Linked DNA regions of Lytechinus pictus. The protein of the gene in region 2 interacts with the protein of the main gene of each other region in a pairwise test. Links are inferred from orthologs where the notes say so. Each region holds a gene or a part of one and is shown on either strand. Other genes may lie near its edges.

What was found.
Region 1: the proteins of thymidine kinase, cytosolic-like (region 2) and histone-lysine N-methyltransferase SETDB1-A-like interact in a two-hybrid assay, tested with the Homo sapiens proteins (2 studies listed by BioGRID and IntAct). The link is inferred for Lytechinus pictus from reciprocal best matches to the Homo sapiens genes TK1 and SETDB1.
Region 3: the proteins of thymidine kinase, cytosolic-like (region 2) and ergosterol biosynthetic protein 28 homolog interact in a two-hybrid assay, tested with the Homo sapiens proteins (2 studies listed by BioGRID and IntAct). The link is inferred for Lytechinus pictus from reciprocal best matches to the Homo sapiens genes TK1 and ERG28.

What each region holds. Positions count from the first base shown.
Region 1 is NC_087253.1:10,916,287-10,927,550, reverse strand, and holds the start of histone-lysine N-methyltransferase SETDB1-A-like, read left to right. Parts: upstream 1-5,845; 5' UTR 5,846-5,890; coding exon 5,891-5,987; intron 5,988-6,754; coding exon 6,755-6,857; intron 6,858-7,883; coding exon 7,884-8,194; intron 8,195-8,383; coding exon 8,384-9,248; intron 9,249-10,637; coding exon 10,638-10,740; intron 10,741-11,264. Other genes in the region: histone-lysine N-methyltransferase PRDM16-like, read left to right, coding at 2,387-3,313. UniProt on the Homo sapiens protein: Histone methyltransferase that specifically trimethylates 'Lys-9' of histone H3. H3 'Lys-9' trimethylation represents a specific tag for epigenetic transcriptional repression by recruiting HP1 (CBX1, CBX3 and/or CBX5) proteins to methylated histones.
Region 2 is NC_087254.1:30,595,516-30,606,424, forward strand, and holds the start of thymidine kinase, cytosolic-like, read left to right. Parts: upstream 1-6,011; 5' UTR 6,012-6,152; coding exon 6,153-6,218; intron 6,219-8,895; coding exon 8,896-8,927; intron 8,928-10,045; coding exon 10,046-10,159; intron 10,160-10,503; coding exon 10,504-10,597; intron 10,598-10,909. Other genes in the region: uncharacterized protein LOC135155728, read left to right, coding at 1-236; uncharacterized protein LOC135155821, read left to right, coding at 442-3,024. UniProt on the Homo sapiens protein: Cell-cycle-regulated enzyme of importance in nucleotide metabolism. Catalyzes the first enzymatic step in the salvage pathway converting thymidine into thymidine monophosphate.
Region 3 is NC_087251.1:6,120,799-6,131,781, forward strand, and holds the start of ergosterol biosynthetic protein 28 homolog, read right to left. Parts: upstream 4,202-10,983; 5' UTR 3,899-4,201; coding exon 3,877-3,898; exon of another isoform or gene 3,735-3,876; intron 3,733-3,734; exon of another isoform or gene 3,288-3,732; intron 1-3,287. Other genes in the region: actin maturation protease-like, read left to right, coding at 10,464-10,603.

The DNA.
Region 1 (11,264 bases), on a different chromosome or scaffold from region 2:
GCATTTCAACAGATCCAGAGAAGATTAGAGTGGTGAGGGAGTGGCCAGTCCCTAGAAGTGTCAAGGACGTACAGAGTTTCCTTGGACTTGCCTCTTACTATCGCAGATTTATAGCTGGATTCGCTAATATTGCCCGTCCATTACATAACCTAACCAAGAAAGGTCAGACATTCTCCTGGACGGCAGAGTGCGAAGCTGCCTTCCAAGAACTCAAGCAGCGATTGCAGGAGTCACCCATTTTGGCGTACCCTGACCCAAAAGAGGAGTACATATTGGATACAGATGCTAGCAATGAGGGGATTGGAGCTGTCCTGTCTCAAGTGGTGGACGGGAAGGAACGTGTCATATCCTATGCTAGCAGGGCGCTGCATAAGGCAGAAAAGAACTATTGCGTGACTCGGAAAGAGTTACTGGCTGTGGTAGTATTTCTGAAGCAGTTCCGACAGTACTTATACGGGCAGAGGTTTACGGTCAGAACGGATCATGGGGCACTTCGTTGGCTCTTGAACTTCCGAGATCCGCAAGGTCAGATGGCTCGTTGGCTGCAAGTGATAGCAGAGTACGACCTCAAAATCGTACATCGTGCAGGGAAATCACATGCCAACGCTGATAGCCTTTCAAGACGACCTTGTCCTCAGTGCAAGCGGGACTTTGAGGACCGAGAAGATTCAGAGGCAGAGATAACGGGAGATAACTTTGCAGAGGCCAAGGCAGTAACAGTGACACCGGGCATTAGCAATGAACAGATGAGGGAATACCAACAGCAAGATCCTTCGCTGAGGTGGATCATGGAAGCAAAGCAGGAGTCTTTAGACCGTCCTGATTGGTCAACGGTGGCTTCCAAGTCTAGTGTGGAAAAGTCCTATTGGAGGATGTGGGCACAGCTAGACATGAAGCAGGAAATACTCCACAGGAAGTGGGAGTGTGACCAAGGTCGGAATGTGACCTGGCATGTGGTGCTTCCAACTGTACTTCGGACAGATATTGTGAAGGAATTGCATGGTGGCAAATCAAGTGGGCACCTTGGCCAGAACAAGACAAGAGAAAAGGTCAGGATGAGGTTCTATTGGGTGGGAATGGATGCAGACATCCGGTCGATGGTACGGCAATGTAATGTCTGTGCCTCCAAGAAGTCTCCAGTGAAGAGACGGAGAGCCCCCTTGCAACAGGATTCTGTTGGGATGCCAATGGAAAGGGTTGCGCTCGATATTGTTGGTCCCCTCCCAGAGACGGAAAGAGGAAACAAGTACATCCTGGTGGTGGGTGACTACTTTACCAAGTGGATGGAAGCCTACCCAATACCGGATCAGACAGCTGAGACAGTTGCCAACAAATTTGTCAATGAGTTCGTCTGCCGGTTTGGTGTCCCTACAGTCCTACATTCAGACCAGGGCCGAAATTTCGAGTCATGTGTCTTCCGGGAAATGTGCCATATCCTTGGCATTCGCAAAACCCGCACTACCCCCTACAATCCGAAATCCGATGGCCTCATTGAGAAGTTCAATGGCACTTTGTTGAACATGATTTCAATGATGATCGAACCACATAAGCGGCAACGAGATTGGGATCAGAAGCTGGCAGTGGCAGTATTTGCCTACCGCAGTGCCCCCCAGGACTCCACAAAAGAGACGCCAAACATGCTCATGTTAGGGCGGGAGATCCATCTTCCTATTGATCTCACAACGGAGGTATTGAGGAGTGGGGAGGAAGAGGAGACTGATGTGGAGACGGATTACGCATTTGTTTTGAGGAAACGAATGCAAGAAGCGCACCAAAGAGCCCGAGACAACTTTGCAGAGAGTGCCCGCCGGCAAAAGAAGACCTATGATGCGAAAGCGGAGGGAAGCCCTTTGGTGGTTGGGAAGTTTGCCTGGCTCCATAACAAAGCGAAGACTAAAGGCTTGTCCCCAAAGCTACAGAGAAAGTGGGAAGGTCCATATTTAATCATTCAACAATTGTCGGATGTTACTTGCCGGATTCAGGAGAAGAAGAATGGCAAGAAGAAGGTAGTACATGTGGACAGGTTGAAGCCCTACGAGGGAGTGCCGCTTCAGTCCTGGTTAGAGGCTCATGAAAATGAGCAGAGAGTTCTCGATCAGAGTGAGGGACTCCAGGTGGGAGAGGAGGGACTCCAGGTAGGAGAGGAGGGAATAGACCCAATTGTGAGGGAAGGTTCAGGAGTTGAGGAGCCTCCCGTACCAGCTCCGCGAAAGGCTCCTGTTCCGGCAATAAGAAAGAATCCCCCAAGAGCTAGAAATCCGCCAGCTAGATATGTGATTTAATGTGTAGCATGTAACCTGTGACAGATGTGATATATTCTGACATTTTGAGACAGAATTCAATCAATTTTGTTTTGTTTGTGTTCTTTTGATTACAGTGGTTCAAGATGAGGCACCGGGTGGCGTCTGACTTTGAATGCTTCGACTGTGGAGCGAGGTTCTCACATAAAAGGAGTCTGCACCGACACATCGACGAGAGACATCGACGTCAAAGGCTGTATACTTGTGACATTTGTGAGAAGGGGTATTCCCGCAGAGATAACCTTAGGGCCCACATGGTGAGTCATGAGAGACGTTCAAAAGTGAGGTCGGAAGTCCACTTGAGCGACAAAGGAGGGAAAGAACGTGAACGTGAACGTGAAAAAGGTCGGGAAACTCGAGAACATGAGGAGAAGACAACAACTCGGATCTGCAGTGAGGTACAAGAGCCAACCATTGCTGAAGCAGAGATTCAAGTCGACGTCTCTCCTGGCACTATGGAAGCGGTAAATTCTTGGAAAATGGGCCCAGGACTCAGTGGGAAACCACTTAGCCTCCTGCGTCAACAGGTGCAAGATGAGCAGTCTGAGGAGTCTGAGGAGTCTGAGTCCGATCTTGAAGATGAACAGGAGGGGGGCATGGACTTGCCTGAGAAAGTGAAGTTGGGAAAGCCTATCGGTGACTTGAAACCGACCAGGATTTTAGCAGGGAACTTAGTCCGAGTAGCCGAACATAGTTCAGCATACGTGTTTTCCGGAGGATCGAAATCTATTTACGAGGAAAAGGCACGGACCTACCACATGGTGGTGGTAAAAGCTGTCGAGTCGGTCCCTGAAGCTTCATACACCAAGATTAATCATGTACGTGAGGGGCATGTGGGTCCGGCTATGTCCGTAGAGGATTTGGAGCGTGGACTTATCGGAAACCTAAAAACTATCACCGAAAAAACCACGCGCCGAGTGTTCCGAAATGGAGAATTAGTATCGGAGGACGAAGTCATAAAGGAGTTTACGGTGGATATGATGGTGGGAACAACCAAGGCCGAAACAGATTGATCAGCTAAAGATCTCATCATCCAGAACACTTTTAAGAACTTTTGTTATATATAAAAAACAGTATCTCTTCCGTGAGAAACATTCCGTCTTGTTGTTTTGTATTCCGATTTATTGCCTTGATGTATGTTATAACCTATGTCTTCCTTGCCTTTCTTCTTATCTTTCCTATATCCTCCTCATCTTGACATTTTTCTGCTCTCTCTACAACTCTCTCCGCTTTTTCTATATATTTCTGTACATATATCATTTTGTTCTTGTTTTGTGAGAACAGTGCTTGATTAAAGTTATATTTTGATGTCATCGATCATGCAGTTGAAAAAAAAAAGATCAGTATCTACTTTTTATACAAAACATTTAATACCTCATGTTTGGACATGAAACTCAAAATGTTATTTGGTTTTCTTTAGGAAGTCTTAGAGATGTCTTCAAACTCATAAGTGTGTTAAGAAGAGTGCTTTCTTTTTATGCTATACCTGTATATACCTGTATATTCTTAACGATATTTTTTTTGTACTTATTGTTTCTGCCAAAGATGTTTCACTCTTGAAGGGTGAGTTGAGTTTTGAAAGGATTTATTTTTAGTCTTTTTAGTTTTATACCTGGTCCGAGGACAGCCCAGACTTGGGGAGGGGCTGTGTAGCATAATGAGTTATACGTTTAAGATGTATTTCATAGTTGATCGTAGAGGGCGATATTTTTATGTTGTGATACTTGGTATGGAAAAGTACGTCAGTTCGCTCGGAGCTGTGATGACGTGCAGTTGTAAATAGTAGCTCCCGATATTAAACTAAGACTTACACCGTACACTAGATCTTTCCACTGTGCTTTCTTTATAAGGTGAGTGTTATAGTGCTTGATTCGATGTATTTCAGAGAGGTCTGAGAGGAAGAGAGTGTACCACGTTATACAATAGACTTTTGTGAGAGAATCTGCCCCCCAAAACAATTGAATGAGTGAAGAACAGCGTGGACCGGGTTCTAGAGACTGCGAGACGGCAGAACGCTACCCCAACAGAGCTCGGTTACGCCACAGTAATATCATGATAGGCTAATTTTTTTGATCTTTTTGAAGCTTATTTGATATTTTAAAAATTAAATTAGTAAATATATATTTACTACCTGCTGCCATTTCATGTTTAAAATGTAATAATGACTCAATTTTGTAGGCCTATATGATAATGAATTAATTCCTTTACCCTTTCCTAGACAAGATTTTAAACTTGTAGGATGTGCAAATAATCATAACTAAATCTAAGTTAAATCTAGATCACTACGCACAAATTTTGCCTAACTCTAATCCCCTAACAACAGCTTTCTGTGCCTTCTGTGCGGTAATTCTACCCATGTTGTTAGGAGCTGATTTGTTAATGGATAATACTATACAGATTGTGATGTCAAGCATTGATCCCAGATGTAAATAATGCATTATAGCCATCGCGGCGAGATTACCGGTTGTAACAGGGTGGGGTGGCATCACCCATGGGTGTGGGGGAGGGCTATATTTAGATCTATCAATTATTTTACAGTGTGATAATAGCTGGGATGAGTTGGGTGAAGCTTATAAAGCAACCACTTTGGTGTTTGCAAATTATTTAGTCCCCTAAAACCCAGGATTACAGAGAGGAGAAGGGGGACGGGGAGGAGTAGGAGAAAAGAAAATCATCGAGTTCAGGTGGATGAGTGGTTTTGAAGAAGGGGAGGATCGAAGTAGAAATTCTGCTTAATCTTTACATTTTTGCCCAGTGGCACTAAGTTCTCATCACTTGCTGTCTATCTGCAATCACCCAGTCTGGTTATACAACACCCCTCCCCCCAAAAAAAGAGATAAATTGTTACTAACAAATACTTGATTCCGTTTGATTTATGATCTGTTTTTCATTGTAAGAATTGTTGAGCTTATATTTTGTGAGGGTTTATTTCCAATGCGTCTAATGCCATTTCGTCCAATTGCCAACTCGTCTACTATCACTTGGTCTACCATCAGTACGTCCATTCACCACCTGGTCTACTTTCATTTAGTCTAATGCCATTCCGTCTAATTACCAGTTGGTCCAATAATCATTTAGTCCATATACCATTTGGTCTAATTAAACTAAAGAACAAATTGTGCAAAATGAATGAAAAGAAAATGGGTATTAGACCAACTGGTTATTAGACGAAATGGTAATAGACGAACTGGTGATTAGACGAAGTGATAATTGGACCAAATGGTTGTTAGACGAAATGTTGATGGATGGAATGGCATTAGACTAAATGAAGGTAGACCATGTGTTGAGTGGACGAGTTGGCAGAGGACGAATTGGCAATTTATCTTTTGTGAGGCCCTCTAATATTGGTGGAATGTAAAAAATGTAGCCCACAAACTTTCTTTTTTAAATAGAAAAAATAGGTGAAACTTTAATTTAGTTTTGCCCCCAGAAGGCAATCTGTCACATTTTTGGTTATTCTTAACCCCCCCCCCCCTCCTCCCTCCGACCACATCTGCATTGGATGAGTGAGTCAAATATGATCATGTCTATATATTGTCTATCTCTAGGCTTTACTGGTGTGACTAGAAAGCTAAACTGAGAGGCTCACGATGGCAGAGATTGCTGAGGCATTCATGTTGAAGGTGACGGCTGGATTAGATGAGCAACTTGTCGAGCTTGACAAGAAAATTACAAGGTTTAATACTGGTAAATGCCTTCCTTTATCACGTACTCCATCTATGTATTCCAGGGGCCCGTTGCAGAAAGAGTTGCAATCAAACGCAACTCTAAAAATCATGCGCAACTTGATTTTCATCCAATCAACAGTGCGTATTTTGGACTTGCGATTGATATTTTTACTTGCGTTTAAACGCAACTCTTTCTGCAACGGACCCCTGAACCCCTACTAGGGTATTTCAAAGTAATAAATGTTGACCAATAAAGCAATAAAAAGTTTAAAAACTCAAAAAGCTCTCTACGGTAATGGAGTAGTGGATGTCCCCCCTCACAGCCCCCACTTGGTCGCGCCGCCCACTGAACCCCTTGCAGTTTTACTCATTTACTTTCCCTCCTTTACTTTAAACCTCGCTCACAGGACTAGATATTGATACCATTTACATTTTGTCTTGAAATATACATGTATACCAATTTGCATAACTTGATTAGAGCAATATTTATTTATTAGAGCAATATAATTTGTAAAATATTGACTACTTTTTTATTTAGGCAATAGCAAAAACCATTACTCTTCAATGATTTTGAGATATAGGCCTACTATCTCTTGACCTTCTTTCTCAGGGTAAAATAGTACACATATATTCTCAAGATCTATTTGGCGCAATAGTTTTACTATTGCCCCAATGAGCAGTCAATAGGTCTATCTGTATATTCTGTATAAATTCCAGAAAAGCTCAAATAATGTTAATGACATTTTTTTTATATGACTCTCTTGAAATATATCTTTTTGTACACAGATGTCACACCCCAGAATGAGAAGCTCCTGAATGATATCGGGACCATTCACCACCGATGTGAAGAGCTCCATGACGAACTACAGGGTCTACTCAATAAGCAAGGGTGAGTGGTCATTGTATTAAGACCCTGTCACATCGTTCTCTGCAAGCCCAACTCACCCATAACAAAGCATGTTCACAAATTTTGTGTGTCCAAATCAGACTTGCGGGCAACTGCATGGGGCTACTTTTCACAACTTACTGTCTAAATCTGCAACATTGGATATTAAACCTATTTCGGGCCAACTGGGCTATTTCGGACCAACATATACTGGGGGGGGGGGGGGGGGTCAATTTGACCCCCCCCTCAGATCTTGTTGATTGCGCGATCGCCGTGAAAATTTGCACGCACATAGAGCCGGATGTAAACTCCAAGACTGTATACAAGAAATTGCCAAAAAATAATTAATTTCCTATGTATTTTATTGTTTTTTTAATTCTTATGCATTTCTTTGTTTTTTTCAACATTTGTTTTTATTGTTTTTTTTTGATGAATTTTGTTGGGGACCCTTTTGGGATTCTGAATAACATAAAGTAAATCCATCTAAAACAACAAAAGTAAAAATATTTATACATTTATAAATTTTGGTTGAAAAACGCAATTTGTATTGACTTTGTATACGGAATCATGTTTTTGAGCAATTTTGGGACTGACATGCGCCCACAAAATATTACGTAATTTCAAGCCCCAAGCCCCGTGATTTTTTCCCCTTATTGGAAATTATATGAAACAAGATAATTAAAGTGTTGTTCGGTCAACCATGGCCCCGTCTTACATAGAGTTACAATTGATCCAATCAATCGTAATTCTATGGAAATCCATCAGTGTCATAATTTTGTCTACAGGAAATTTGCACGATGTCCTTCGTAAACAAAGAGAAGCACAGTGAATTTTCATGAAAACAATGAATGCTTGAATATGCATCATAGTGAGAAAATATTTTGAACAAACATGCATGATAGATGTTGACATTGCTGGCCATTCATAGTTGTGATTGATCGGATCAATCGCAATTCTTTGTAAGACAGGGCCCATATCAAGCTTATGCTCATGCTTCATGTACCCCTTTATATCGGCTTGTTTCTACAGAGAACAGGAGAAAGCTGCGAAGGAGAGACAAGATGAATATGACAAGAACCACCTCTTCAAGTCGCCCATCTCACCAAACAACCCTAAGACGATCCATGAACTCTATGAAGAGATGGACCTCCTCGACATCGATTCTGATGAAGACGATGACCACGACAGTGGCAACGAGATGGGCGATGGCGACAATGATGATGTGCATTCTGAAGATGAGATCATCTTCATTGGAAAAACTGACCTACCTCCGACGAGCCAGAAACGATCAGCTAACGAGGCACGGTTGACGCCACCCAACCCTTCAAATCGACCAGTCGGTAATGAAAATGCTGTTCAACTTTCCTCCTGGAATGAACACATTAATTATAGATCTGAAATTTATTTTAACTCCCATTATTCTCATGCAGGTGTATTGTATACTTACTTGGTATGTTGCTCTCTGATAATTGAAGGTTGCAATCATTCTTTTGAAGCTTTTAATAAATGGCTTTCTGCATTTCTCATAGGACCCATGGAAAAGGAGACTGTAGGAAAGACAGCAACACCGCCACGTACTTCACCACAGAAAGCCCCACCCGTCTCCAAACTCACCACAGTACCACCTCAATCGTCATCATCATCAATACCAAGTACTCGGGAGTCCCCGAAGGCAGCTAGTGTGTCCCCTGCCACCTTAGCATCGACAGCATCCTCCACGACAGCACCTGTCATGACCCAGACGGTAACGGTTGAAAGTGCAGGAAGCACTCCTGGGAGAACCACTGTTGCCAAGGTTCAACAAGACGGGAACACAAGCACTATAGTCATACCGGCCTCCATGCTTCCTCGGCCGAAGAACTTGCCAAACGCGCAACAGCCCAACGCGCCGTTGCGTTTCCTCATGCTGACCACCGCCAAGAATGCAGCGGGTCAGGAGGTAAAGAGCGTAAAGACTTTGCTCTTGCAGAATCCTCAAGGAGTACCCCTCAATGGCCAAGTCGTCTTGAAGATCCAGGATGGACAGCAGAATCAGCTGGTGCAGCCATCATCGCAAGTCCTTCAGGTTTTACCACATGGGAAGGCTCAAGGTACCCCTTCTGCTCCTGCAGGAAAACGTCCTCCAGGATCTGCAGAACCTTCCAAGACTTCTTCCGAGGTTGTGGAGATCGTTGACGATGACGATGACATCGTGATGGTGAGTAGCACTCCAGCAACCTCTGCTGCCAAGAAGAATACTCCCGTCAAAGCTATGGCGAGAGCACCGTCGGCCATTCCTGGACAAGATGGAAGTCCTGGAAAGGTTCGTCAAGGAGTTCAACTGATCCATGGGGCTGACTATGATGCTCATCTGATGGAAGGAGAAGAAATGATGTTTGGAGATGATGAAGCAACGTAAGTATTGATTGAAACTTATGGTGCCCATTTAATAAAGAGTTACAACCATGTTAACTTTGCCATCATGGCACAACCGTGGAAACCTTGATTGTGGTAAGCTGCTGCTGTTGAGCCCTGTTATCATAGCTGCCATAATGGCAAAGTTACAACAGTTCTAAGTCCTTTATGAAACCGGCCCCTCCGCATACTGCAATGCCATGTTTTCATATCAATATCCTTGCAGGGCCCCAGGTATAACAACAGTGATGGGGTTACTTTGTTGAAATTGAATTGAATAAATAAATAATGCATAAATATATGTTTACAGTGAAACCTATAGAAAGACCACGTATGGGGGGGGGGGGAGCTGTGTAGTTGAGCAGATGGTCTTTATGCACAGGTTCGTTTTATACATGTTTCAGTGGGGAAAAATACTCAAAAGAAAAACATAGATTGTGGTCTATTTAGACGGGTGGTCACTCTTTACAGGTGGTCATTATAGCAGGTTTGACTTTGTACAGTACACAGTACTGCTCAACCTGTCTATAATGACCACCCAAGAGAGACACAAGATACACTGTATGACCTCGATAGACAGGTGACTGCTACATGACATGTATATTCCGGGTAATATAATGTAACCTGTCTCTTTGTGAATCGGTTTTAGTGGTCACTGTAGGCAAGTGGCTGCTATATAGAAATGGGAATGTCCACAAGGCCAAGTGTTATTGGTATGATCATCTACCCTGCTGTAGTTTTCATTTTGAAATTTAACCTATATGCCTTGATATTTTGCCTATTTGTATTTCCTGTTTAATGTCATTACGTATTTTGTTTTATATTCTGGGATGCATACTTCATACATGGATGGGTTTTTCTAAACCTTGTTTGGCAACCCTAGACGTGTAAATATATTTGTCTGAATAAATTCAAATCAAAATCAAATCAAATAAAAAACCAAGTATATGCAACATGTTTTCTGCTAAACGTAATCGTCAGTATAAGTATTTTTATTTCTATTTCCTTTATACTTCATATTTCCTTTCTCTTAACCGCTTAGAGGCAATTTGCGGTATATAAAAGTATTATTATATGTGGAGCGTTGTGGCCCAGTGGATTAGTCTTCTGACTTTGTTACAGAGGGTCGCGGGTTCGAATCCCAGCCATGGCGTAATTTCCTTCAGCAAGAAATTTATCCACACTGTGCTGCACTCAACCCAGGTGAGGTGAATGGGTACCAGGTAGAAAGAAATTCCTTGAATGCTTTGAGCACCTAGGCAGCCTAGCTAAAGCGGGGGTAATAATAATAGCAGGGCCCGCCGGGAGAACAGTTTTCAGAACTGAAGTGGCTTCCCTGGGTATATATACCTATGTTATTATTACCGGTATTAATATAATATTATGCAGGTTGCCAGGGCTTGTTGAAGGGAAGAAGGTATTGGCCAAAGGGGAAGAGAGTTTCTGGTATCAAGGCATTCTCATTGGACCTCCTATACATCATAAAGGAATGGTAAGATTCTCTATTTATTATGCTTTTTCTTGTACTCATAGGCCCGTATTCTGATATCCCTATTTTGTTTAACCCTATCTAGGCGGGGGGGGGGGGGGGGCCTCCGAGGCCCCCCCTCAACGAGTCGCGCGATATTTTTGACCGCGCTGCTCACTGACTTTTTACTTTCAACTCTTGCGCAACTTTTGAGACCAATTTTGCGTCACCCGGGTACGCGGTTCCGAAATTACGCAACGTTATGTAAGTGCATTTCAGACCAAAAATTGCTCAAAAACACATGATTTCGTGTACAAAGTCAACGTAAATTGTGTTTTCAACCAAAAATCATAAATGTATGATTATTTTTAGTTTTGCTGGTCTAAATGTATATATTTTATGCTGTTTATGATCTTAGAAGAGTCCCCAATGAAAAAACAAAGGGTAAAAAAAACAAAGAAATACATAAGAAATTGCAAAAAACAATATAATACATAAGAAATTGATCTGATATCACAATTTTTTTCATTTTAACTTGCTAAGAACAC
Region 2 (10,909 bases):
TCAATGACAACCTCCTACAAGGACCAGACTTGACTAATGGCTTAGTTGGAGTACTGTGCAGGTTCCGCCAAGAAGAAGTTGCTGTCGTTGGAGACATCAAAGGAATGTTTCACCAATTCTTCGTGTCGGAGGAAGATCGGGACCTTCTCCGTTTCTTGTGGTGGGAAGATGGTGACCCAAACAAAAACGTGATCGAATACAGGATGAAGGTTCACCTATTCGGCGCTACTAGCTAGCTCACCTGGATGTGCTAACTATGGCTTCAAGAAAGCAGTAGATGATGGCGAAGCTGAGTTTGGGTCCAATGCAGCTTCATATATTCGAGATGACTTCTATGTCGACGACGGACTTAAGTCAGTCGCAACCCCAGATGAAGCCGTGAGTGTCATGAAAGCAAGTCAAGCAATCTGCAGTAAAGCTGGACTGAGATTACACAAGATAATGTCTAACAATAAGGAGGTTCTGCAGAGTTTTCCTATCGAAGACAGAGGTAAGGGTATTGCTGACTTGGACCTAGAAGTTGATCCACTACCAATAGAGAGAGCATTAGGTGTATTCTGGTGCGTGGAAAGTGATACATTGCAGTTCCGAATTGAGCTTAAAGATCGCCCTCTTACTAGACGGGGAGTTCTATCCACTGTTGGCTCAATTTATGACCCTATCGGCCTTGCAAGTCCAGTGACTCTGAGAGGAAAACAGATTCTCCAGGACCTCTGCAGAAGGAAACTTGATTGGGACAGCCCCTTACCCGATGACGTCCGACCACAGTGGGAGAAATGGAGATCTGAAATAAGTGAACTCGAGAAACTAAACGTCCCAAGATGCTACAAGCCTCCAAACTTCGGCAAAGTAAAGCGTACGGAGTTACATCACTTTTCAGATGCAAGTTTTGATGGTTACGGACAGTGCTCTTATATTCGCCTGGTGAATGAAGAGGACAAAGTGTGTTGCTCTCTCGTGACAGCCAAATCAAGAGTAACCCCACTCAGACAGATGACTATTCCCAGACTCGAACTGACGGCTGCCACTGTATCAGCAAAGATGAGTACATTTCTAAGGAAAGAATTGACAGTGGCTAAACCTCAAGAATTCTTCTGGACAGATAGTCAAGTAGTCTTGGGTTACATTCGTAACGAAGCAAGGAGATTCCATGTCTTCGTGGCAAATAGGGTGCAACAGATACATGACGAAACAAACCCCAAAAGATGGTTCTATGTGAACACAGAAGACAACCCTGCTGATGAGGCGTCTCGAGGGATGACAGCAAAGGAGCTCGTTGAAAGTAGCCGCTGGCTGGTTGGACCGAAGTTTCTTCATGAGAAAGGAGAATTCAAGATTCCTACAGAGCAGTATAAAGCCAGCTGTGAGAAAGATGACCCAGAAGTTAGACATGTGTCGACCTTGTCTACAATGACTGCTAGAGCCAACCACTTCGAGATTAGTCGCCTCCAGCATATCTCAAGCTGGCAACGTGCCAAGAGAGTGGTAGCACTATGTATGATGTTCAAAAGTAAACTACGAAAGAGAGAAGTGAAGAGGAAGACAAGCCCTAAATTGAACCGTCCACTCCAACGTGTTATCTTGACAGTTGCAGAAGTCGATGCAGCAGAAACTGAAATAATCCGAAACTTGCAGATAGAACATTTTCGTGACGAATTGATGGTACTTCGCAACTTAGGCTCTGGTGAGCAAAATGACAGACAGACAGCAAGAAAGAGAAACAGTGAAATCAAGCCAATCAGTTCTCTATATCGTCTAGATCCATACATTGGCAGTGATGGTATCATGCGAGTTGGTGGAAGAATCGACAAAGCTGCCGTACCTGACGAAATCAAGCATCCCGTCATCATGCCGAGAAATTCTCATATGACGACATTGCTCATAAGACACAAGCATGAGCAGGTTCACCACATGGGAAGAGGAATCACACATAATCAACTGAGACAAAATGGATACTGGGTGATTGGTGGTTCTTCTGCAGTTTCCAGTATCATATCAAAGTGTGTCTTGTGCAGAAAAATGAGAGGACCATTGCAGCAACAGAAGATGGCAGATCTGCCAAAAGATCGCCTAGAACCGGCACCCCCATTCACATACTGTGCTGTGGACTACTTTGGACCTTTCAACATCAAAGAAAAAAGAAGTATTGTGAAAAGATATGGAGTACTTTTCACTTGTATGGCATCAAGAGCCATTCATCTAGAAGCAGCAAATAGTCTCACAAGCAGTAGCTTCATCAACTGCCTCCGGCGGTTCCTCACTCGTCGTGGACCAGTCAGACAGATCAGATCTGATAGAGGGACTGCTTTCGTTGGCGCTAGAAACGAGTTGCGGGAAGCAATGAGAGAGTTGGACCAGGAATCTATCCAGACGTATCTACTAGAGAATGGAGTTGATTGGATACCCTTCCAGATGAACACGCCGAGTGCATCTCACATGGGAGGAGTTTGGGAGCGCCAGATTGGTACAGTACGCAGAGTCCTTGAACCCCTCCTCATGAATTCAGGGTCACAACTAGATGATGAATCCTTCCAGACGTTCCTTACTGAAGTGGAGTCAGTTGTCAATTCCAGACCACTGTCTACAGCTAATCTATGTGCAGGAGATGCCCCTGAACCGTTGACTCCGAACCATCTTCTAACCATGAAGGCAAAAGTTGTGATGCCTCCCCCAGGCAAGTTTCAGCGAGAAGACGTGTATGCTCGGAAGTGGTGGCGTCGTGTGCAGTATCTAGCGAACGAATTCTGGAGTAGATGGAAGCGTGAATATCTCCAAGACATCCAAACAAGACAGAAGTGGGTCCATCCAAAGCGTGACCTCGCGATAGGCGACATTGTCATTGTAAAAGACTGCAGCGATACTCGAAGTCAGTGGCCACTAGGAAGAGTGACAGAAGCCTACAAATGTGATGACGGCCGAGTTCGTAAAGTGAAACTGATCATGGCTGATCGCGATCTTCGAAAAGACGGTAAACGTAAGCATGAGCCTAGATTTTGGAAAGACCCATACATAAGCTCGTTTTGATCCTAGCAGATGACTAGATTTGTTCTTAATGTGATACTGACACTATAACAGAAAGAGACTGCTTTTTACATGGGCTAGTATAATCTACGCGAAAGACATTTAGGGATTCCCCCGCAAGGAGCCAAACACAAGAACAATTATACTGTTATATTATTATCGTTTATTTTTATATCAATAGGCAATTAGCAGATTGATATGCAAAGTTATTGATAGCTTGGAAAATTGTTTCTGTGCTTTTTGAATATGTGATATTTCATTTTGGTTTGTTCAACCAAATAAGCGAAACATTGCTTATATTGCAACGTGCATTATTTGGCATGATACATATACAAATTTAATATATTATATTCTTGATGTTTCAAGAATCAAATTGGATCAAGGAAATGCATTTGAAAAGAAAAAAAGGCTTGCTATATTTTGAGATATCGTTCAAAATATTGTATTATGCATTCTTTTATTTATCATTTTATGATTTTATCGTATAGTTTTGACCTGAATGTGCTTTCGAACGTTTGAAACTTCGAACTATTAGAATTATTCACTTATCAAACTGTGATGAGAGCATGCAAGCATAATACTAAAGCATGAATACTTTATTGTTTATTGATATTTTTAAAAGTGGTTTATAGTATTGTTATTTTTATGCAAGCGCTATAGATATTTCTAATTGAAGTTTATAAGTATATATATATATATAAGTAACTGTTTTGGATAATCAGTTAAAGGAGCCATGTTGCTGCGACGCAATGCGCGCATTAATTGTTACGTAATCAGTGTCATTTTAATCTTGATTGCTGCGTCATGGTTGCCATGTATATTTGCGCATAATAATAATAATAATCATAATAGTTGCGCGCGTGTTATTAATATTTGTCATGGTTTCAGTATTAACGTCAAAAGGAAAATTAAAGGCTGTGTCAAGTATACAGAAAGAAACAGAAAGCCATATTTGGTAAGTTCGATTACTTTTATTGGATTATTAATTGCACTCTGTTATTACCAAATATTTATTATGAGAATAATGATGAATCGATGTTGTTTTAATGTGAATGATGATGATTAACTAAATTATGTAAATATGAATCTAATGTGTAAACGAGAAGATAATATGTCTGTGTATTTATGATTCTTGTATATCTGTTCTATAATTTTCAGAATGTTATCTGCAACGCTTAATCTACAAAATAATTCTTCTGATCAAAATCGACAATCATCTATTATTAAAGAGTTTTTGTAAATCGTATATGAAACTCGTCCTGTCATTCGTCGTATATTATTGGAAACTCCTCTTGTATAGAGGCAGCCACAAGTTATATGCACAATCTAGAGACATGCAAATGAGAGAGTCGATGTCCCGCACTCACTTTTTCTTTTGTTTCTTATTATTTGAATTGTACAATATTTAAATTTTTACAGATTTTGCAATAATAACTAACTCGACTGAACCATAAAGTGCATGGTAATTGTACATGTTCAGGGAGGAATAAAATATTGTTTCACGTACAGGACAATGAATTAAAAAAAATTGAATTTTCATATTTCAGATAATAAAATTTAAAAGAAATAGTGAGTGATGTCATCACTCCCCTAATTTGCATACAGACCAGGATGGGCAGATAAATGATTTGTGAAATTAAACGAAATTAATTTTAAAATGTCAGTTTCTTATTTTATACATCCGATTCTGATGAAATTTTCAGTATTTTGCTTGTTGGATTCTCCTATTATTAAAATCAACTTTCTGTTGGGGTGGACTTGTCCTTCAAGGCCTAGGCTTTATAGCCTAAGGGGGGGGGGGGTTCTTCTTTTTATTTGGCAACCAGTCAATTTAATTGACTATTTTCGCCATCATAAATATTATAATATTATTCACGTTTGTTTTCTTTAAGGAAAAAAAAATATATAAAGTAAAATTCAAATATTCATTTTTTCCTTCTTCTTTTCTTTCCTCTTCCTCTTTTTTTTTTTTTTTTGGGGGGGGGGTTAGGGTACAAGGATTTAAAGTCGAGTAGGTGTGTCTAAAAAAATTAAAACCAGGGCTTTTACTGAAAATATGTTAGATATATAGGCCTACTATAGTATGCAAGTAAACAGTACACAAGGCATTATATAGGCTGTACATTCAGACCCTTAACTCGTGTGAAGGGTTTGCACAGTAAGGGGGATAGGCCTACATTTTTTTTTATTCGGCCCATTTCAGCTAGGAGGCAGATGACGGAGTGGTCTATACGTACTGCATGTAACTATGACTTCTTTCGTAAAAATTGAATGGTAAAAAGGGATTAAAAAGTTGTCAGATTTTTTATATTGACTATGTAGGGCCTATTTGCAGGGGCGGAAATCTCTCCCAAAAGGTAGGGGGACAATAGGCTGAAAAATTTGACAAGCAAAAAAAAAAAAAAAAAAGAAAGGTTATCACCCCCAATTTAAGGTCATTTCGACGAAAATAAATTTGACCAAAAAAAAAAAAAAAAAAAAAAAGTAAGGTGATCTTGTATAATACACGGTTTATTTCGATTTTGAATGATGTATTTCCTACCATCATAAAACACAAATAGTAGGGGGGACATTTGATATTGTGTTCCCTCTACTATTTTGAGTAGGGGAGACACGTCCCCCCTGTCCCTCCTGGGATTTCCGCCCATGTGTATTTGTGGTTTAACCATCGACTGTGTCACTTGCACTTACATGTATAATAAAATAATGTATTCATAATTGTTATTGTTTTAGTATATAGCTGACACTGCGATCTGTTTTGATTGGTCTTACAGTAAATGTCAGGCCGGGATATGTAAAATATATTTTGAAGTGTAAAGCGGGGAGTGGAAACATTAAATCGGACTATTTTGAGTAATATTTCTTTGGGCAAAAATCTGAAATGTCTTTGGCAAAGACTAGGAGCGTCTAGTCAAATAATTGCCCCCACCCCCTCGATCCTAGATCTGGCCTGGCGCCAAATTTGAACAACGACGCGACGCGCGCTGCTCATTTTCCAGCCGCCTTCTAATTCTTCCAACATCCGATCCAGATCCAGTCCCGTACTCCGACCGTAGTCGTAGAAAATTAGTCGGAATATTTTTTGTCATTCTTTCATCTTTACCTCATCTGGGCCTGTATATCCAATAATCATGATGTCGTGTGTAGATGCAATCGATGGAATGAGACATGGGCACAGAAATAAAGGACAAATTCAGGTGAGTTCAAAGCGAACGAGATTCGAGAGGCTGCAGGGAAGTGCAGCAGCCGGCCCGACAGCTCCGTTTGCATCATCAGACTCAGAGCTCGAGCTCAGGCAGTCAGCGCCTAGACAGCTGGCAGCCGTCTGTTTTGGACTTTTGAGGAGTTTTTTTTTATTTTTATTTTTTTTTTAATTTCTCCTCGTACACAGACGGCTCTCGCTATCGTGCAGCCACCATTAGGGGACTTATTACAATGCAAAATCCCCCCATCGGGGCTCTTCAATTTTTGTCTTGACTTGTCTTAAGTTAAATCAATGTCTCTACTCTATATATAGGCCTAACAGTTAAATTACTGAGTAAGACATGAATCAAATTCAAACTTTTGAAAATTAACGCGACCGAAATGGCATTAATTGCCAAAAAACAGGGAAAATCAAGTTAAAAGGAACAAAAACAGTGACTGACCTCGGCTGTCGCGCAACTTAACCTCCCCGTTTTATCCAAACTTAGTACACATAGGCTAAACATATGGCCATTGTCATTGAGTCCCCTGTACTAGATCGCGCTAGAACTTCGGTCTCTGTATTTGGTGAGTGAAGCCAACGGAGTTCAGCTGAACAACCAACATAACACAGAGACCTAAGCTTTTGGTCTATACTATTACTAGTACATAAACATGGCCATTGAGTCCGCTGTATGATGGGGGGACCCACCCAAGGGTTCATTACATGCCGCCGCGCACAGAAAAATCAAGCCATTGAAGTCGTGTGTTGTGGACCCAAGAAGTGAGATCCCAGCACGCGCGACCCACTAGTTAGAAATCCACTGCCAAACGCGGGTCGTGGTGCGAGGTTAGTATACTAATACTAACCTCGCAATACGTGTGAGTGGGGGGGACCTAAACTGGGCTAAAGCTACGCACTTTGTTTTCAAACAATAAAAACTATCCCAATTTTAATATTTCAACAAATATCTTTCACTAATTTGTGGCAAACATTCTAAAGATCATTAACCAGGAAGAAAATATCGCAAAACTCACTAATACGAAAATCCCGCCGTGTTCTCCGAAAACCTCTTGATTTTGCCACCCGATGTAGAAGGGGTCCTAAAACCACGCACTCGATTTATCATGCAAAAAAATAGTATTTCCTGTGCCTCAATTTCTAAAATATATTCATATTATTATAGGATAAAATGAAATTTAAGCGAATATAACTCCAAAATTCCAAACAGTTGTTGGTTTCTCTGCATTTAGAGATTTACTGCAGCCTCTGTAGAAAAAATTGAATAGGAATCGTTCGTCACTCTGCAGTCACAGTTCCACACACAGAGTGCACATTTGCCATAAAAACTGTATGCGCGATGAGTGGTGCGTAGCTTTAGGACCCCCTACCATACCATTTTTTTACCGGTATACAAACTTTGCTCATTTTCCTTACCTGAAGACTACGAGAACACACTTCTTGAAACGTTGAGTTTGGGTTGTCAGGACAAACAATTGCCCGTGAAAGATGGTGTACCACGAAACCTATTAGTCCTGCACTATGCTAGGAAAAAATGATACAATATATAATGTAAAAATTTCAAATAAGTTTTAGCCCAAGGCATATTTATTAATTGTAGAAATATAACATAATAGAAACTGGCTTTGGCAGAAAATCAAGCATTCTAATCCTCTAGAAAAAGTAAGTAACAACGAGAAAATGTCCAAACATGTTTTTGCCAACCCTATTTCAATACACAGATCTAGGACTTGATCTGCTCACATAGATCTACTACTCTGTATGAGGAATGAGGACAAGATCATACAATCATGATAACTTCTATTATTGTGATCTAATGAGGACTTTTCTTCAAATGTCATATTAAAATCTGCACAAATAGAAATTTTAAAACTTTCATTTTCATATAAAAATACATACTGCAGGGCTCCACACTAACCCTTTTATTCTACTGGTCCAAACTGTTCATGTCGGACCAGTCGATACCCAGTTTTTTTTTTTCTGGTCCAAACCTAAAATTTACTGGTCCCCAAAATGAAGAAAATAAAGAAAAACATTTAAAAATGAGTTTATTTGGCTGTATTTTATTGCTTATTGTTACCCCCTACCCCCCCAAAAAAAAATGAATAAAAAATAATAACTAGGGGTCTAGGGCAAGGTACACACTCAAACACACAACATAATTCATGAGAGACATATTTTTGAGACTCCAGAGCCATTATCATAATTTACAAAAAAGAAAATATCATTTGTCTCAGTTTGATATATTATTTTCCTGGTCATATCGGACTAGTATGGCTATTTCTGAAAAGTTAGTGGCCCGTCAGCAATTTTAGCTGGTCTGGGATCGTCGGCCTGGTGCCAGTGTCATGCTCTGCATACCGGTAGTATATTTTAGATTTTGTGACATAATTTAAGTTTCATGTTGCATTATTATTCATAGACCCTTTCAGCCTTGGTCCCAAACTTTTTTACACTGTTTTGTGAAAAAAATAAGCAAAATTTGAAAATGTGCTGTAGTATTTGATATCCAATTTTGATGAAAATATGAAATTATAAAGTGGTATGCTTGTTTAGTTTTCCACTTCATGGTTAAAGCAAATTCTGTTGGAGTAGACTTTCCTTACAGTTCACTCTCCAATACATGTACATGTATTACTATATCTTTTGTTTTTCTTTTAACCTATCAGGTCATCTTTGGGCCCATGTTCTCTGGTAAAACGTAAGTACTGACTTGTATTTTAAAATTAAGATTATCATATCAATTGTCCATGTCATCTTGAAATATGCCTTTCATGTTTTACAATGAAAATAAGGTAGGCTAATGTGTGTGTGGTGGCTGTGGCCCTTTTGAAAGAATTTTGTTTTGTTTAGTTTGTGTTTTTTTTAATGTTCTTAATGAATTAGGAGTTGTGTGGTCTAGTGGTTAGAGCTTTGGATTTATGATTGAAAGGTGGTTTGAATGCCAGCTTGGCCTTTATTTTAACCAATAAGGCCAGAGAGTAATTTCTATTGTCTATAAGGTCAGCCACTACATGTATGACTGGGTTAACTTACTTGTCTTTGTAATTGCTTACATACCAGCTTGGTGTTGATGCAGCAGTCAGCTGCTTTTTCGAGTTTCTATGACAGTTCAACAGAAATTAATTATGTATTTCTTAACGTAAAATCCCTTGAGGACCCCCCCCCCCTTCACATGCACAAGGGGGGGGGGGATAAGTCATGTATGTTGAAGGGAATCTAACTTTGGCCATGAAATGGAGTGTGATGAGAAGAGAAAAAGAGAGAAAATAAAAACCAGAATGGTGAAAGTTAGAAGGAAACAGTGACTGCATGTAACCAATAAGAGAGCTATGGCTGTTTAAGAAATGAGACCACTAGGACAATGCAAATTTCAAATTGGCAGCTATAACTAAATTATGTCAAACAAGACCATTTTTCCATAGGCTACTATGTACTACTGCCTTTACAAACATTAACATAGATGTTCTCTTCTCATGACATGAAAAGAAATTTGAAATTGAAGTAAAAATAAAAAATTACATTTTAGCCATTTTGCGAATTGGAGCAAATTGAAGTATAGTCCCTACATTACATTGTTGACATCATCAATGCAACTAAATTTAAGTCTTCATCGCTAAAGTGATTTCAACTTACAACTTTAAAAAAGTCATAACTTATTTTATTACCGATATTGTTCAAACTTTCACCTCCACATATCTACTTATCTGATTTTCTTTTTTCTCTGAAGACAACTTTTTATTTTGATTGGATTACCCTTTATAACTACTATATTTGAATTTTTAATTCAGAGAATCTATTTCCCCTACTATATTTCAGAACTGAACTGATCAGGAGGATAAAGCGTTATCAGATTGCAAATCACTACTGTCTTCTCATCAAATACGACAAAGACACAAGATATGACAAGGATGGTGTAGCAACTCATGATAGGTGAGTGGTTCTAAACACTTATGTACCGTATAGTAAATTAATACCCATTTCCTTAAATATTTTCCCTCCATTTCAAAATACTTCAATTTAATTATTTGCAGGACGTACACAAGGCCTACACATTAAACTGTCTGGGTCCTTTTATTCATAATTTTTAAGTAAATTATTGTATTTATTGTGATGTAAACTTCTTTCTTTACCTTCAGTTTGGACTGCTCAATACCTTTTTTTATTATTCAGTAAAAAAACAACACAATCATTAATTGCTTTGTTATTGCACAAGTGCCTTCAGAAGTTTTGAATATTATTAACATTTCTCTAAATCTTTCTTATCTGCAAACTAGGCAAGTATGTAAAGCTACTTCTGCTAGCAATCTATCTTCAGTCACAGAGCTTGCTGAGGAGTATGAGGTCATAGGAATCGATGAAGGTCAATTTGTAAGTACAATCTATCTGTTCAATTCTTCTTATTAGTATTTCCTTTAGAATTTCTTGAAAATCGCCTTGAGAACAGACTCTAGAGTGGATTTGTATGATACAAGTTCAAATTATTATTGTGTTACATTTTTTGTCTTTCAAATTCTGTCTTTTTTTTTTAATGAATGGGGTTAATACTAAGTTTACTTTGTATTAAACTGATATTTTTTCAGCTTTTCATGCAGCCATTATCTTTTATACAGGTCTGTAAGCACTTTTTGATTGTAATATTTGAGATCAAATTAAATATTTTGAAATGATTGTAATGATAAA
Region 3 (10,983 bases), on a different chromosome or scaffold from region 2:
AGGCAATTGCTAGTTGTAGTTCAATGTGATCAACTAGGTCCATATACTTATGACATTTCAAAAACTTAACCTTGGTTAAGATTTCGATATTGATTCCCTCAACATGGTCTTAAGTTCGTTGACTCTAAATTAATCTTACCCTAAATGATCTTTGACCTTGGTCAAGTCACCTGAAACTCAGGCAGGATGATAAGTAGGCATAATACTTGATTGCCCTTATATCTACGTTTCATGAACTAGGATCATTTACTTTCTAAGTTATGATGGCTAATTAATAACTTACAAAAGTACATTTAGATAAAAGTTGACTTGATACACATTACTGGTTCCAGGGGTGGATCCATGATTTGCCAAAATGGGGGGGGGGGGGGGGGGGGAGGCACATTTGACAAGCAAAGAAAGCAAGAAAAAGTTTTTTTACCCAAAATTAAGGACATTTTGTCCACGAAAAAAATTGAGAAGAAAAAAAAGTCTTCACTTTCAAAAGGGGGGGGGGGCACACTTCTGTTTTACCGGCATTTTTACATTACAAATTTTAATTGCGCCTCTCAAAGGGGGGGGGGGGCACAAGCTGGATTTGGGAGTTTGCCCCCCCCCCCTAGATCCGCCAGTGACTGGTTCAGGACAGTACTGGGCAATTCCATGGAAAATGTTCACTTCAGTGAAAAAATAAAGTTTAAGATTTCACTTAAGGAGTCAAATTTTCTTAAAAAGTAATCTATAATGTTTGATTTTTCAATAGACAAATCGCAAAATTGATAAAATTTTGCATTTTTTCCATCACTTAAAAAGAATAGTGAATTGCAAAAAAATGAAAAAATGTGGCTATTTTTAAACATTTCATTCTTCCTGTCTCTACAAAAAGCAACTAAGGTCCCAGAGGTCTCGTTGAACTTTTAAATAGTTGATTAATGTTTACATCAAGAGAAAATAATTGTTAAATTTGTGCCATTCATTAATTTTAGAGAAATCGATCTTCAGATTTGTGTTATTTCTTTTACATTACCAGTGTCATTTCCGTTACGTTTTTCACTTAAAGTTTTCATAGCTAACAGGAAATTTGTCTGAAGTTACTGCAAAGTCAGATTCTATGTTAGAATCAAACGCCCTACCATGTAGCAATCATTTTCCCTTACCAATTCTCATTTTCATAAAAATTGTGTAACGGACATGACACTTTGCGTATTACATGACACCTTATATATAACACGAGGCAGCATTCACAAAAATGAAATATTGGGCTCAGTGTAACAGAATGATGGTCAGTCTCAATTGATTGAGGGTAGCTGGATGTCAGATACAAATACTATTAACTCATTAATTCATGAAATCTGCATATCATTCAAGCTAAAATTGAAGTTGGTGAATGAGGAAAGTTCAGCTCTTGTTCTGGTAGATTTTTCTGAGAATTACCGGTATGACACAGATTATCAGGATTAGATGCAGCTAGCTCTGGCAACATACTCAGATCTCAGTCTGCATCATTCGTGTTTGAACAAAAGATAATTGATTGTCTTAGGTGTTTGCAGGGAGATATAGAACATGATAAAATTGCAACTTGTGCATTCATGAGATCATTGATGGCGCTGGCTCACAATTAAAAAATTAACTGGTGAGAATAGGAAACAATTTAAAACAATCAAACAAATACACCACTTTGAATGTGAGCAGGAGAGTCAATACTAAAATAACCAGTGATGATGAGCCACAATCAACTTCATCCTCTCTTTGGCAGTAGAGGTGCACGGCCAATATTGGAGACTGTCTCCAATGCAGGAGATTATCTCCAATATCAGAGACTTTTGTAAAGAATTTGGGTATCCAATTTCAGAGACAGTCTCCAGTTTTGGAGACCAATATCCTTTGTTTACATTGGCTGCAAAAGGATTACCTTGGCGGCAAATAAAAATGTAATAAGGAGATTCCTCATGAAAAATTACCCCTTTTCACCGCCTACTTTAAAAATTCACTCTACTTTTGTTTTGATTTTATAAGGATTTTTGTTGTCAATCACACACAAAACAAATGGGCTTCTGACCTCAGTGAGACAAAATTTTGGGTGGAAAAAATCATGCTTTTGTTGGTGTTGTTTCTTTTGTCCTTCTGCAAAGCAAGTCTCCAATGTGGGAGATTGTCTCCCCTATTGGAGAGAGTCTCCCATATTGGCCGTGCGCCTCTAGAACTACTGTTCGGAAGTACAAGTTAACACTTCTGTGTGAATTGAATTTTCTACTAAGAAAATACAAAAATACTTTGTTGCCCATGTGACCACCTAACAAGAAGATGGGCATCTGGGTGTGTAGGTCTCGCTTAAGTTAAGTTAAGTTATGCGTCTTGTAGTTGTATTTGTATTTGTAACCTTGAAGGAATAATCCCTAACTTGGGCCTAAGCAGCTCTTCCAAGCGTCTATCGGAAGAGTGTCAAGGGATCGTGATGAAGAAGTATATGTCAAAATATTTAAAAATATCATCACGAGGCTCAATTAGGCTAAAAATGATGACCGGTCAAAGTCAAGACAAAACCACTCCTAGTACCAATGAGGTCCAACATTACATGTATGGACCTCATAGGCGACATCAGTAGTATTTTTGGTTAGAAATCTCTGAGAACAGGATATTTAGGCAATTATATCATAAGTACAAGCTCTATTCCTTTCTCTTATTTAAATTATAATTTTATAGTGTAAATGCATCGTTAGCAACAACAAAAAATGAAAGAAATGAAGGGGAACTTACATTTTCACGGCTTTTTCCTGATTTTCTGGGCAGCTGCTCTTCTCTTCTGACTCGCGATCGAAGCTGATATGAAGATCACGTGATTCGCGTTCTCGTCAGCTGATCGGTTGGTTATTCTTTTCGTCAGACGTTAATAATATATATTTTATAATGCTAGCATTCATCGCTAATTTAGGTGAAAGAGATTGAAGTTAAACAGCGCCAGGTCGGAATCATAATTATTTTGGAAGAGTGTATTTATACACTCGATCTCATACCTGACGTAGACGGCGCTATTCAACAAATGCACAATCTTCAATATAAAAAATAAAACAGAAAGAACGCCTTGAACACAGGCCAAAATGCCTAACGATTTATCCGCGGCATTAACAACTATCGTAAAGGGCGCTCCATTTATCAATAAAGATGGACGCTAAGCTGTCTATGGCGACAAAATTTGCCGCAAATATTTACGAAGAATTGTGAGAAATGGTCTGAAAATGCAACAAAAGAACCGGTGAGTACCGATTAAAGTTTAAACATTATTAAAGTTATAAATAGATTATACATACCTTGTAGATTTAGTTTTTAAGGTGATATTAGTGCTTAGTTCTAAGCTAGGGAGGCCCAAACGCGCGTGAGTGGAGTCCCAGTTTATTAGCACGGGTAAGTATTGGGGTGTCGCCTAGAGTGGACAAAACAGTGCCGACAAACATGACAAAGCTAGTTTTTGCTAACACAAAATTTCAAGTGCGGGACTAAGTGAGGAGAAACGGCCAAGAAGTTACTTTGAATTGAAATTAGGCCTACTTAACATAAGACATTTTGTTCTCAGAAAGTACCAGTAGACTAGGATGGCCTAATGAAAAGAGTCAGTTACCTACAATCTCTTTTGTTGAAAGAACGATCGAAGGGAGGTATACCGGAATCCTCTGCCCGCCTCGCCTGCAGCTGCAAAATTATTTTCCCACCGTCGCGTCCGCGCCGGTATATAATATGAATCTGCGGAATAAGACTGCGCATGCGCGTGGACACTAAATATTCACTGTACTATTATCCATGACACAGCCTAACCAAGGAGATATCTGATATCACTACTTCCTTCCCTGCTCTAACTTAGCGCCCCAGCCATCTCTATGACTATGGCCCCAGCCCACTCACCGGCCGGCCACTCACACAACATGCGAGATTGCTAAACCTAAAATCCAGACTTTCTTTCTGTGGTGACCAAGAATATGCTCCGGCATTTAGGTCAGTTCTCCGGTTTTCTTCCAGTCTCATGTCTCTCGGAATATTCTAAGAATAGAACGGCGATCCGACTACCGGTACTAGTACTACTACTAGATTCAGAGACCGTGTGTGATAGTTGATGTAGACAGACTTGGTGTCTTTGTAGTACTAGTATTACGATATTGCGAACTTATGTGTGTGCGGCAGCCGGCAGGCGCAGGTAAGCGTGCACTTTACTTAGTATGGACTATGCTATGGTAGTGCCACTACTATTACTATTAGTAGTGGATCGTATTACCGAACACTTTTCATGAATTCAATCATATCAAACACATTATTCTCATAAAATTCACCAAACTTTCACCATGAATACACAATTACCTACAAAATATAAATAGGCCTATGTAAAAAATTTGCCGAAATCGTTTTTCCTTTTTTACGATATTAGCTTCCAATCGGACCCCTCTTCGCATGTGAAATATTTTGGTTACTTAAAAAGGTATCGTATTACCGAACGTGTGTTTTCTATGGGAAAAGTTGAAAAAACAACAAAAAGCACTGATGTCAGTGATGAGCTATTTTGACCATATTTTGTTATTTTTAGAATATTAAGACATGAAAAATGCGTTTTTTACCATTTTTCATCATCTTTCTATTATTTCAAGTTCTCTTTGGAAGGATGTTACAAAATTTTGAGCGTTGAAATTATTTTCTGATGCGTATGATGCGCGCGTTCGGTAATACAAGACCGGTCGGTAATAATACAATCACTCACTAATATACTGTACTAACTTAGTTTTGTGAATTGGGAAGTGACGTCTGTGTCCTGTGAACTGAGCTGAAATTCCACTCAGTCAAAATTAACAAAATTTTGAGATAGGCTAGCTTCAAGTTTAAGGGTGTCTGGAGAAAAATATTATTTTTCTTATTTCAAGAAAATATCACATTTTCTTTGTGAATTTGAAGAGAAATGACCTTCAGACTGACAGAAATGTAACAATTTTAACATTTTTGAAAAAAAATCTGATTATTGGCTGCAAAAAAGAAGAATGAAATTAGGTCAATTTTCAGCATTTCTCTGCCATAGACTGTGTAGTTAAGAAATGGACACACACAAATCTAAATTTTTAGCTTCCGAGTCCGAGAGCTGTGTTAATTCACTGGCGTAAATCCCAGGGGGGGGGGGGGATATATCCCCCCCCCCCCACTTTTCGAGGAGGGGGGGATGGCCTGTACAAACATCCCCCCCACTTTTTACGAAAGAAATGAAAAAAAATCACAAGAGATAATTGTTTTATTGGTGAAAATTCTTCCTGAAATACCGCTTAACAAATAAAACAATATTATTGAATCATAAAATGCAAATAAAGAGCCAGTTCACCATTTCCAAATGAAATACTTGTGTCCTTATTATAACATTGAAGAGAAACCCCCGTTTCTTCCAATTCATCAATGTTAGGGTCTTTGGAAGGGATTAAGATGGAATGTCAAAAAAATATGAATGTAATCTCTAATAAAACCCATTTGTTTACTGCAACCACCCTGCCTGTGGGGAATCTGCAGGTTGGACTATGGCATGCCAATGCTGTACAGAGCACACACTTAAAAAAATGATTAAAATATCACTTTTGTGACCAAAATTACTAATTTCCATACAGTTGCAATTTATTTTTCATTAGTAACTTGGGAATAATTTTTGTATTCACTAGAGCGCTCAAAAACTTGAATTTGGGGCATATTTTTGTGTACGCCCTCTATTGGTGGAAAATAAAATGGCAAGAAAATTTTCATTTTTGTATCTCTGTTTTTAATTAAGAAAAAAATAATTTAAAGAATCAAATTTACTTAAGGGCCAAGTTGTATGACGAATAGGTGTAATGAAAACTGTCAGTGTAAAAAAAATCAAGCATTTGTCCCAAAGAAAAAGAGAAAATTTGCCAAACATTGCCATCCTTATTTTGCCACACATGGAGATATAACTGAGAACAAGGTTATATCATAACCTTGTTCATTGAATGAGTGATAAAACCATTAAACCATCATGGGGTAAAAAAGATAATAATATTGGAGGGGTATTTGCCATATGGACATACAGTGGCGTAACTATGGGGGGCACATCCCCCCCTCATCGGCTGACCAAAAAAAAAAGGGGGAAAAGGAGAAAAGAGGGAGAAAGGAAGAGAAACATAGTGAAAGAAGAAAAAATTATTCATTATAATATTATATTATATTATAATTATGTTATGTTACATTACATAAGAAACATTTTTATCATAACTTTATGATTTGCCCAGGGCCTACGTCTTCATTGTTCCTGGTGCTCGCACTGTCTGTTTAACGAGATACATAATCCTGTTGTACTAAAACATCCCGTTTTCAAGTCAATACAAACCAAATATATTTCCTAGCACTTGAGTTATCATTGTTTTATGTAGTGACATATATGCTTCTTTTTCATGTCTCAAAAAGTGATTGCCCCATGTTAAGGTCTTCGTATATATGAAACATTTCCTGTCCGTGATTACGTTCGCATTAGTGGATTGGTGAGATATGTCTGCTCTTCATGAATTCCCCAAATCAGTCCTTAAAATGTTCCTTCTTCTGATCTGAATATCAAAAATTTTCAGCTCGCGCTTCGCGCTCGCATCATTTGGTTAATGAAATACGTATGGTCCTAGTTATTTCCTACAAAGAAACCTTAGAATGCCCCACTTCAGGTCTGAATTATCTAAATTTTCAGCTCGCGCTTCGCGCTCGCATTGTTTAGCGAGACAGGTACCTATCATAATTACACAAATTTGATTATAATGTCCCTTTTTAGGTGTGAATATAAAAAAAATTTCCGCTCGCGCTTCGCGCTCGCATTATTTGATCGGTGAGATACATATCCGTTTAATGACATTGTCCTTAAAATGTCTCTATTAGGTCAGTATAACTGGCAACTGAGCGCGCTTCGCGCGCTCACTAGTGCACTCACTCAGTGATTAAAAAATTTTGCTGGTGCCCCCCATTGCCGTGACCCACGGTACGCCACTGTGGACATATCAATGACAATTCCTTGCATATCTAAAAACATGATTGCAAAAAAATGCCAAAATATTTCAGTCATCCCCCCCACCCATCAACAAAGATTTACACCAGTGTGTGTTATAAATTTATTATTAATGCCAAAAACTTGTCCATAAAGAGTCCAATAGGATTTTTTATGCTCTTTCTGATGGTATGATTTTTATAAAGATTTGGAAACCAGATCACAATGAAAAATTGCGACAAAGTGTAAAAAATTGTGCAAAACAGAAATTTCATTTCCCATAGAAAACGCATGGGGAAATGGCAATCTCAACACACACAAAAATAAGGGTTTGCAATTTATCTCTAAATCCTTATTTAAAATGATCATATAAACTTGTCCTTACTGTCAAAAGAAGCCCCTTAATTTTCTCTTTCCATACATGCCAAACACAAGTTAATAATCAATTCAGATCACATTATTCTAGTAGCCTGAACTTCCCGAAAAAAATGTGCCATATTTTCCCCTAAATCAGCCTCTCTTATGCTGACACTTTTCAGTGTGGCTTCAGACACCCTAATAATCTTTCCTAAGCACATGTCAATAATTAAGTAGGGTTATCAATATCATTAAATATCAGACCAAAACTTAACTTAGGCTTGCCTTAACTTAAGCTTCGGTCTCTGTTGTTATTATGTTGTTTGTTCCGCTGAACTCTAACGAGTAACGTGTATTGTAATTCTAGTCTGAACGGTAATCCTGGGTTTTAGGGGCGTAAAATATTTTTATATATTACCGGCCTCTAACTTCAGCCAAATCATCCCAGCTTAGTATCACAGCCGGTTCGACTTTAAGACATTCTCGTATCTGTCACCGTGTTAAATTGGCGAGATCAATAACATAATTTCTACAATCACTCAAACTTTTTATAAAATAAAAAAGACATGCACGGGAAAATAATATTGTGCTATACAAAATTATTACATTTAAAAATTACATCGTGTACTTTGAGGTCCATAATAATCCATTTTACAGAGACGATCTTGTCACTCGTACATCCCCGAAAAAGTTGCCATCTTGAAAATATCGAGTTTCGCGAGATTTGACTTCCGGGTTTTATTTTCTCTCTCATATCATCGCCATTCGATGAAACATCAAATTTCTTTCTTTGCCAACGTGATTTCGAGTTCGAAAAATTGTTTTGATGCTGGAAATACGAAATGGATAGATCTAAGCAAAATTGTGTTTTTTAAAGTGATTTTTGTTTGCATACAATTTTTGTTCGGCCTGTATTCATCTTTTATTTCTCAGGCGACGTTTTCTTGACGCCGATGTATTAACTATGGAAGGTTTTTTCTTCGGGCGATGGTAATTTTCCGACTTCACAAATGTGTCGCATATTGCCCTCAAAGCTAAAACGCGAGGCGATGTCAGACTAATTAATGAGTCATAATTTTTCTTGAGTTTGAGCGAGGATGATCTGGTATTAATAATGACCCTTTTGAAATTGTTTGATATTTTAACAATTTGTACCTCTAATGAATAACAAATGTGGCATTGAACTTGTGCAGTGATGAGGTGAATTGAAATGAATGGGTCGAGCGGATCAAGCTGTGTGTCACTCGCTAGTGCAAAAATTAAGAATCTCTCAGAAATAAATGTAGTATCCCAGTCTTACAGAAATCAATGCAGACTCTCTTACATGTAGAAATGAATTATTTTTATGATAACATAATTATATCCCTGGAAACTGTGATTGTATTTATTTCCAAGAATTGTTTTAATTCCGTGTAAAATTATGATTCTGCAGTTGTCTTTATTTCTGTGGTTGCTTTATTTCTTTAGTTATCTTTGCTTCTAGAGTTTTCTTATTTTTGAAATTGTTTTATTTGCGAGGTCATCTTTATCTGAACGATGACATTCATTTGTAAAATATACTGCTATTTCAATTACGTTATTTTTTTTCTAAATCCTTTATCTATGATTGACAAGATTTATTTTGGAGTTGTCTTTTATTTCTAATTATATCAATTTCTGGTTAAATACTTTTATTTCTGACTTTATGTACTAGTCGTCCAAAGTAATGTATCAATTTCTGAATGTTATATTTCTGAGATACTACATTTATTTCGGAGAGTTTCTTTATTTTTGAGATTCTTAATTTTGGCCCTTTTGGCTGCCCATAAGTGCAGTGGTCACGGCCGGTAGAACATGTAATCTACACATGGCGTGTGTGTGTGCATCAATACAATTACAAGTCATGTGCAATCATCGGGTGTGAAGCCAAAGGAGACACATGGGTATGTTAGCCGGTATGTTAGCCCCCTCTTCAAATATATATTTTTTGATAGCAAATGGGTTACATCAGGGATGGAAGGGGTATATCTCTTTTCAAATACTGCAGCCTTTGAACAAAAAAGCTTACAGTTCCACAGCTTGTAATACACAATACACACAACCACATTTCATATCTTTTGCTCTCTCACTCATAAGCCTGGATCTCCCCACTTTATACTTGCAGCAATTCAGCCACTCTCGTGATCACATGACACATGCACACACATCATATCCACATATCATTCAGCATTGCTGGAGTCATGAGATACATGTACAGTGCAACCTGCAAATTTATGAGTGTTGGGAGTAGCAGCCAAAAACATAATCTCATGAATAAATTAGCATGCTCCCCCCCCCCCCATTTCTCTGCCAAAAAGTTTCAAAGAATGTTTTTTTTTAGAGTTGCAATTAGCGCCAGAATAGACTACATACAATGCAAGTTTACCAAATGTTTTTCCAAACCACTCACTTGCTACGCTCACTTGCATAATGAGATATAGCCAACATATGCATGTTAATTTTTATTCTAATCAGCCTGATTCTAATAACAAAAAATCCCTTTCAAAACAGTTTTGCTCAACTTAAGTTATTACCACCAAACACATGCAGATACATTGTACTTCAGGCAGAAATGTAATTTCATGTTGAAAATATCGGTTTGAACCCAATACCCTTTTTGACATACTAGTGCCTTTTCTTTGCTTTGCCCCTACAAATGAAAGTATGTTCTGCTGCTCCTGTGTAAGTTGCTAATTACTCCATGTACAGTAAAGGTCATAAGTAAGGGGCCACTCTCAGATTTAAAAGAAAATCATACAAAACATACTGTACTTCATTCAAATGTATTGACACTGAATGGGCTACATGTATGACAGTTCTATCACATCACACAAGCATGCTTCCAAGCGGTTTTAATTGCACTTCTGCCAAACCCCAGTCAGTTTTCATGATGTATTCAAATTTCATGTGTACCTTTAAACTATAAAGGTTTGCATAAAAATTGGAAATGTTTAAAGCAAATGTTGTTTTTTGACACCTGATAGCTTGTCAGAGGCTCGTCTGACACAGCAACAAGTTTTTGGCCTGTACTGTAATGCATTTCTTGAGACTTATTTACTTTTAAATGTAATTTTGTTTTAGGTCCAAAGAAAGTGTTGAACAAGGAGGTGTCATGGAAACGTCTATTCCTCCACCTCCTCCTCCTCCATCTGTAGTTCATATTAGCCCCACAGAGGATAAGAAGAAAACACATGGAGACTTAGAAAGTTCTGCACTTGAGGTTAAACAGACAATTGAAAGGTTGCCCTCATGGTAAGAAAATGTACTTGTTATATATATATATATCCACTTGGTATGGGAGTAATTGAGGTTTCCAAGAGTGCTCAATGCCAGGGCAGAGCAATATATAGGCCTTCAGACTGTCCCCGTCACCCAGGCAGGGTGACCAGATTTCACAAAATGAAATACGGGACAATCGACAAACAGAAGGGTACACAGTGTTAGACTTGTGAGAAAAAAAACTAAAGAATTGGAAGGGAGGGTGAGCGAAAGAATGAAGTAGAGAAAGAAAAGAGATGAATTGAGACGAAAGAAAGAAAAAAATGACGGGGAAAATGAAGGGAAAAATAAAAGAAAGAATAAAAGAAGGATGAAAGAAAGAATTAAAGAGAAAAAAAATGTTTCCGTCATTC